2 linked regions of the Alligator mississippiensis genome follow. The protein of the gene in region 2 interacts with the protein of the main gene of each other region in a biochemical or structural test. Links are inferred from orthologs where the notes say so. Each region holds a gene or a part of one and is shown on either strand. Other genes may lie near its edges.

What was found. The genes of interacting proteins can lie anywhere in the genome.
Region 1: the proteins of DMD (region 2) and DTNA form a complex in vitro, tested with the Homo sapiens proteins (3 studies listed by BioGRID and IntAct, with this or other methods). The link is inferred for Alligator mississippiensis from reciprocal best matches to the Homo sapiens genes DMD and DTNA.

What each region holds. Positions count from the first base shown.
Region 1 is NC_081826.1:79,295,766-79,299,516, forward strand, and holds the start of DTNA (dystrobrevin alpha), read right to left. Parts: upstream 2,663-3,751; 5' UTR 2,656-2,662; coding exon 2,574-2,655; intron 2,475-2,573; exon of another isoform or gene 2,471-2,474; coding exon 2,389-2,470; intron 1-2,388. UniProt on the Homo sapiens protein: May be involved in the formation and stability of synapses as well as being involved in the clustering of nicotinic acetylcholine receptors.
Region 2 is NC_081824.1:308,597,952-308,601,702, reverse strand, and holds the start of DMD (dystrophin), read right to left. Parts: upstream 2,512-3,751; 5' UTR 2,454-2,511; coding exon 2,435-2,453; intron 1,369-2,434; exon of another isoform or gene 1,075-1,368; intron 1-1,074. UniProt on the Homo sapiens protein: Anchors the extracellular matrix to the cytoskeleton via F-actin. Ligand for dystroglycan.

The DNA.
Region 1 (3,751 bases), on a different chromosome or scaffold from region 2:
ATGCATCGTTTTCTGCAGGCTACCATTGGTTTATACAAACAATAATGCACAGAAATTGTTCATGGAAATTATTACACATGAACACAACTAAGCAGCCACATACACAATATTAATTTTTTTATTTATATGCTCAGTTGTGGTTGGGGGACAATTTTGTATTTACTCTTGCCATTGCAGAATTATAACAACATATTCTGGTTAAAACTATAAGTGAACTATAAGTTCACTGGTTAAAACTGTAAGTGAACACTTTAAGTGTTCAGGACACAACATTTGTAATTTATGCATGATATTTTAGTGGAGGGGATTAGGTTTGGTCTTCAGTTGTTTAATATTAAATTCTACCTCTTGATATATCAAACATTTTAAAAACAAAGTAGATACTCAGGCAACCACACACCCACACACTTATAACGTATTTCATACATTTAAGGCAATGTATTTGATATTGCCTAAACAGGGAATTTAGCCATTGACTTCAGTAGGAGTAAGAGCAATCTCCAAGAACTGTCAGTGGAGCTGTTATCTTTTAAGGGGTACTGAAAAGTCAAACTAGTTGTGAAGGTGGCTTTTAACACACGCTCATACATTCTCTGTCAATAAAGCAACAGTAAGTACAAGTACACAGCACTCTATACCACTCTTTCATGAATAGTGTATTGGGTGCTCCAAGTATGACAAAAACCTGCTAGTACATATGCCCACCACTGCTGGTGATACAAGTGCTACATCCTGACATTAAATTGAAAGTCTGGGAAACTGCTGTTGGATTCCACAGCAAAGATAGGATTAAAAGTGAAAATCTCTGCCTTTTTTTCCCCATGATGATGACATCATTTCCCACACTGACAACAATAAAGTGAGAAATAAAGGTAAAAAAGAAGAGTAAGTTACATAACTTCAAGCTTGCGACAGGATTTAAAGATGAGAAATAACAAGCTTACAATATTGCTTCAGCACTTTTTACTTCACAAAACTCATTTGAAGACCTCTTAGGTCACTGATATTTATCAGGATTTATTAAGTGGCATTTATTCACATTAGGGCTTTAAACAGTACTGAAAACATTGTAAATGCTGACAGATGGATCCCAACGCATATTTATGAGGTTCATCTGACCACAATACCTCTAGCACCATTTAATTTTAGCATTTAATAATTATTCCATGGCATAAAAGATATCCCACAATGTTAGGAACTAGTCAATCTGTAGTAACTAGGATGTTTACTGTAAATGACTGAAGTTAGTAAGTTAGCAAGTAGGTAAATAATTATACATACAAGGATTATATATGATCATATATTTTACAATAATTTATTTATCAAGCATTAGCTTATACAACTATATTTCATAGGATACCTACAACAGTGTTCCCTGACATATTTGTTAAGAAATAAGAGACTGCACACTGTTAAATTCAGGGGCGAAAGGGAAATCAGGACCTGCTCTTTGAAGTGTTTGATTGTTACGCATCTGAGCTTGATTCTTTTCCCTTTTCATTCCTCCACTAAAATCCATTGTATGTGCCCCCATACACAAATACAGTACAATGACCAGGGTCATAAACAGAACAGCCAGTAGGTATAAAGGCCAGTGGTAGGCAATGTGCACTTTTACTACTGGAAAAAAAAAGACAACAACTACTGAAAAACTGAAGTACAGCAGAAGTCAAAAAACATTATGTCTTAGGCCTATGACAGTTTTCCTAAGCTTCCTCGCACCATACACATACACACACACACACACACACACACACACATATGTGTACTCCCTTTCTCCACATGAATGCATACCTTGGTGGTATTTCCTAATGAAATACCTGATGCCCAATAGTCACCAGCCATTGTAGGAAAGAGAGCTCTTGCCACAGGGATACTCAGCAGCAGGCATTGAGTTATGACCCTTGTTTCCCTCTTTCCCAAAGAATCCAGCATCAGCATCTCTCCCTCCATCTCCATAGCAGGACCAAGACCAGCTTGGGTATTCGCAGCCAGGAAAATCGCATGCCTAGCGACCAAGCACCGTACCCAGGGGAGCCGCACCGGTGTCTATTTAGCTAGATTTAAAAGTAGGCAACAGGCTGAAGCTCCCTCCCTTCCCGCCCCTCAGCGCATCCTTCCCCTTAGCCATTTCCACTGAAACCGCAGTGCATTGCAACACTAGCAGCCGCCTCTGGCTCAGGAATATTCATCCCCCCCCCCCCCCCCAGTACTAAATACTCCTCAGAGTCTTTGCAGTGGTGGGAAGAGTCCTTAATGGAGGCTTCAGCATCCTCTGCAGCCCTTTGGCTTTTGCATGGGGGCGGTGGGGGGGGAGTGAATAAAGGGAGGTGGGGGAGAAAGTAGAGGTGAGGGACAAGATGAGTGAAGGAATGAATGAACTGCTACCTCCAGAAAGGCTCTGTGGGTTGCTGCTGCTGCCTGCTCCTGCTCCTGCTCCTGCTGTCACAGCGGATCAGCTGATATTTACCTGTGAGGTAATGCACACTCTGTAAGGTCACCATGCACCCGCTGAAATACAGTGCAAGGCAGCAGGGACGCAGAGAGAGGGAGCTGCTGCCGCCACCGCTTACCACACTGGAGCGAGGAGGATGCACCGCGCCTGCTGCTGCTGCTGCTGCTGCTGCAGCTCCTGGCACATGCTGCAGGTGTCATAGCAGAAACTGCCCTGCCTCACCGAGTCCTCATCTCTTTTCTGCGCCTGCGCCAACCCCCTGGCGGGCATGTGCGAAGGCTCCGCGCATGCCTAGTGGGAACGTGAAGCTCAGATGAAGCCGCTGCCCTTACTCCGCCCTTTGCCCGGAGCTTCCGTGAGGTTCTCTTCCCCCCGCCTCCCTCGGAGCTTGGCGCCGGGCGGGCGGGGGGCGCAGCGCGAGGGGGTGACGTATTGGGGGTGGAGGTGCCGGGCGGGGGCTGCAGGAGCCCTGTGCAGGATGATGTCATGTTTTGTTTGGCAGAGGTTGCTGCGGGCGGAGGAAACCCTCCTCTCTGATGGAGAGGGGGCTTTTGGCTTCCTCCTCGCCCTCCCGGTGTGCCAGTCGCGCCCCACACTTGGCACTTTGTGCCCTCCTTTGCCAGCATCTGAGGGAGGGAGCTGGGCTTCCCCCGCTCTCCCTCTCTCCCCCTCATTCAGGCTATGAAGATGCATCTCTGCTCTGCCTCCTCCCTTACTTCAGGCTCCTGTCATCCCCTCGTGCCCAGCACAAAGGGGGACGATTCCTCTGCTGCAGAAGCGTCTGGCGGATTCCTTCCCGCAAAATGCCGGGTGGCGGTGCTGGGCAGGTCACCCCGGCCCCCTGGCCGTGGCAGCCAAAGCCCTGGGGGGACCAAAAACGTGAATAAGGGCTTGCCGTACAGTAATTTTGGGCTGCTCCTAGAACATCTTAACCCCGGGATTGTCCCCACACCTTAGGGTGTGTACAGAAGTGCTCCATGGACATTTTACAGGACTATAATTCAGAACATTTTTCACAGCACTGTACAGTTACAGTGCTCTTCACCAGGATAGAAGTGCAGTGTTTGCGGGGGAGGTCTGAGCCTCCCTGCACTTTCTGGGCTAGGAGTCAGGGAGTGCTCTGCAGCCTCCTGGGGCTTCTCCACTGCTCAGAAATTTGACCAGCATATATAATTTATTTAAAGCACTGTAGGTTGCTAAAGTGCTGTAAAATACCTCATTTAACAAGGGTTAATGTAAAGCACTGTACCCATTTTGAAAGTGCTATAAGGCCCTGCACTTCTGTTCAGTCGCGGA
Region 2 (3,751 bases):
AAGGCGTTGTTATAAACAGGGGCTGTTATGGTAAGCTGGGGGTGTAACTTAAGGAGTGTGTAATTTAAGAAAGTCCATGTGGGGGTGTGCAATTTAAGAGAGCATGTGTACAATTTAAGAAAAAGTGTGTGCACATGTGGGTAGGGGTTGTGCAATCTAAGAGCGAGTGTGTGTGTGTAATTTAAGAGTCTGTATGGGTAAGGGTGTGGTGTCTCCAATTTAGAAGTGTGTGCATCTGTTTAATTTAAGAAAGAGAAAGAGTATGTGGGTGGGTGGGATGTGAGTGGGTGTGTGTGTCTAAGGGTGTATAATTTTGATTTGAGTCCAGAATTCCCCAAATCCAGCTGCATCTAGGCACCATCCAGCAGTCTTTCCTGCCCAGAGTAAGGGGGCTGGACCCAATGATCTCCCTTCCAGGGCTAAATTTCTGTGAAGCAGGTTATTATATATTTATGCCCTTAAAAACAGGGACAAATAATGGAACGACTTTGCAACCCTCATCTGCTGCATAAGAACCTGGAGCATTCCTATGAACTAGAACCAACTAAACTCGCTCTTCACTTGGGCACTATAATCTGGGGGTCCACAACAACAACAGCAACAACAAGGCATCTGGATTTTTCCTTCCTTAATGCTTCTATTGTCTTGGGTTCTGTAGAAGTAACTGGAATCACTGAAAAAATTATATAATTTGAGAGTGTGGGGCAAGAGATCAGCAAGGACTGGTAGGATCCATATAGATCCTGCTGCAGCTTTTGGAACCAGCCAAGACCTACTTTCTGTAACCTAGAATAATTTAACAATGAAGTTTTCAAAATCCTTCTTCCAATGACTTACTGCAACAGCTCAAAATCCAAAATTGTAAAATCCTGACCTTTACTTCCTATTGTTTTAAACAAGTACTCCATTTGGGTATTTATTTGTTTTAGTGTAATTGCAACTTTGCTGTGTGTCCAGAGCTCCTGGAGTACACAGAACATTTATTTGCTCCTGATTTAGATTAACTAAATGGATTTTGAAGCACAATCCCATGCTACACAGTGACTGAACATGCACCTCCAAGGGCTTACTTACTGTGCCTTCTGTTGCACCAGGAGCACTGGTGTGAAGCACAACTCACCCACTCAGTTCCTCCCAGGCATGTCTCATCTCAGAAATGATGTTACATAGACACATTAGAGTGCTCAAGTTTGCATCAGTAAGCAAAACTGTGACAGAGACCCTAAAATCAGCTCTGGGTGTGCAGTCGAAGGCAGCTAGCCACATTGCCTTATTTTCTGAGACTATTTCCAGTCTCCTTGTGGAAAAGATGTAGACACAGCATAAGTGCCCTTCGATATCCTTCAGTATCACTCCTGCTATGTCTTATACTGCAAACTGTTGAGTAGTGTAGGTATATCCAGATTAGCTGAGGTACTGGAAGTAGATCAGGTGTGGTTGCATGGAGATCCACCTGGGCTAATTTACCCTGATTCTCAGTAAAGTAAATTGCTATTTGTTCACCTGGCTGCTGATGCCACAGAAATATCCTAGGGGATGAAGCCTCTGTTTAGGTCTGCCACTGATCCCATCTCCCTTCTTCTGATTCCTTTCCAAACAAGCTTTTCCTCCATTATGTAATAAGCCCAATATTTTTGGTCTCAATACTCTGCTCCTCACCCCCACCCTCTTGTCTTGTCCCTTTAGGTTTCAAACTGTTTGGGGAAGGACCTATCAGTAGATGGTACTATGCATTTGCATACCACCTGGCATGGTTGGGAATATTCTTGATTCACCCATAGGCATAAGCATAATTAAGACTTTTAATAATAAGGTAGGAAGACTTTTCTTCTAACCCCCAACTTCAGAATTATAAAATGGTAAATGATAACCCAAGTACCATTTTCCCTCTTCTAATTTTTCACAACAAAAATTAAAAATCCCACAATCCAAATTATTCAGTTACACTTATACATGCACTTGAGGGCAAATTAAAAACCAAAGCATTGTAAAGGTATTATTGACAGCAAATGTGATAGACAAAATAGAAATAGAAATCTCCACCAATACAGGGGAATGCAAACAAACTGCATGAGACTACATTTCTACATCAAAATATAGTCATTCTTTGGTTATATTTTGATGATTAAAATATTTCACTTAATATATTTTGATGATTGATTAAAATATTTCAGTTTTTATAATACGTTATTTTGTTTAAACTTTTTTCCTCCAGTATCATAAAAATTCTTCATTGAAAAAAATATTTCTAATCAGCTTTAGCATCTGTTAGGCCTCCACAGACCACAAAAGAAGGTGAAGGCAAACTTTCTTCTTTCTAGAACTAACTTGCAACTTCTAACTTCCATTACATTACACCCCTTAAGATCACCCAGACTATCTTTATCTTACTTTAACTCACTCTGAGTTCTCCCCATGTTCATTTAAAACTTACCTTTTCTATTAGGTGGCATCTCTGTTTGCAGTAAGCTTTAGTGTAACCTGTTTCTACATGAGCTGGAAGGAAACCAGGTACAGGTGATAGGGCCTGTGGGATAATTTTTAAAGGGCTAGCAACTTGGTAACAATGAGGAAGTGTTTTAAAAACACCAAAGTTATTCTGAAAGCATTAAAAGCATACAATTTCCAAAAGAGATGGATCCACATTTTTGCAATATTTTAATTTTGCTAATTAAGGATCTAGTGCATTTAATAAAGGAGTATCTAAATGGCTCCTCATTTTTAATATACATAGAAAATAAATAGAGAGTAAGCAGATGCTGGAAGAGAAAATGAAAGAATGAATAAATAAATGTAGAAAGTGGAAAGAATATACACGTTCACTTGGATTTTGTATAAATGAAGGGCTGGAATCGCCTCTTACATATTGTAGAGTAAATCCAGATGGCAATTTTGTACACGCTATTTTTAGAATCATTCTCCATTTTCTTTTTGAGCAAAAGTGATTTAATTTTTAAAAGAAACAACTAGAGTAGGAAAACAGTATTACTCTCATTCAAAGGTTAAAAAAAAATATGAGTCACACCTCTATCTATCCTGCTTTTGGCCCCAAATGCCCAAATTTTTCAAAGATGATTATATCATGATTTTTGATCTGTCTTCTCATCTGTGATCTTCTACTGGTCACCCCCAGTTCACAGAACATTTTCAGTGCTGCTAACTTAAAAATTAGAGTGATGCAATTCTGGCCTCCACTGCAGGAACTCTGCCTGATAGATCCAACTGAGATCAAATTACTGAGATGTGTATAAAGAGCTGTCCGATTGTGTAGAGAGTTTAAAGTCTCTGCTGAAATTCCATGTCCGATAATTGGCCCCATCGCATCCCCAGGCTAACAATGAAATACGCAACACAAGATCTGCATTGCTTCTTATCCCCACAGCTGTTCACTTTTTTTTCCTTATCACACATAGGCCCTACCTCTGTTCTGCTCCTCCACATTTGAAGATTGTCATTACACAGACAGCCCAGGCTAGATAAGGAGGGAAAACTGGCAGCGGCTCCCTTCCCCTCCTTCTCAGAATTACTGTTGTACAGTTATAGATTCAGACAAAAATAGGGCTGAAAGAGACCTCATGGAATAATCTAGTCTAGCCCCTGTATGAATTATCACAGACAAATGTTTGTCTAACCTAAAACTTCCAGTGATAGGTATTCCATAACCTCTCCAGATAAACTTTTGCAGTGCTTTACCACCCTCATTGTATCTCTCTCCTCTGCACTCCTGAGGCCTCATCTAGAGTATAGTGTG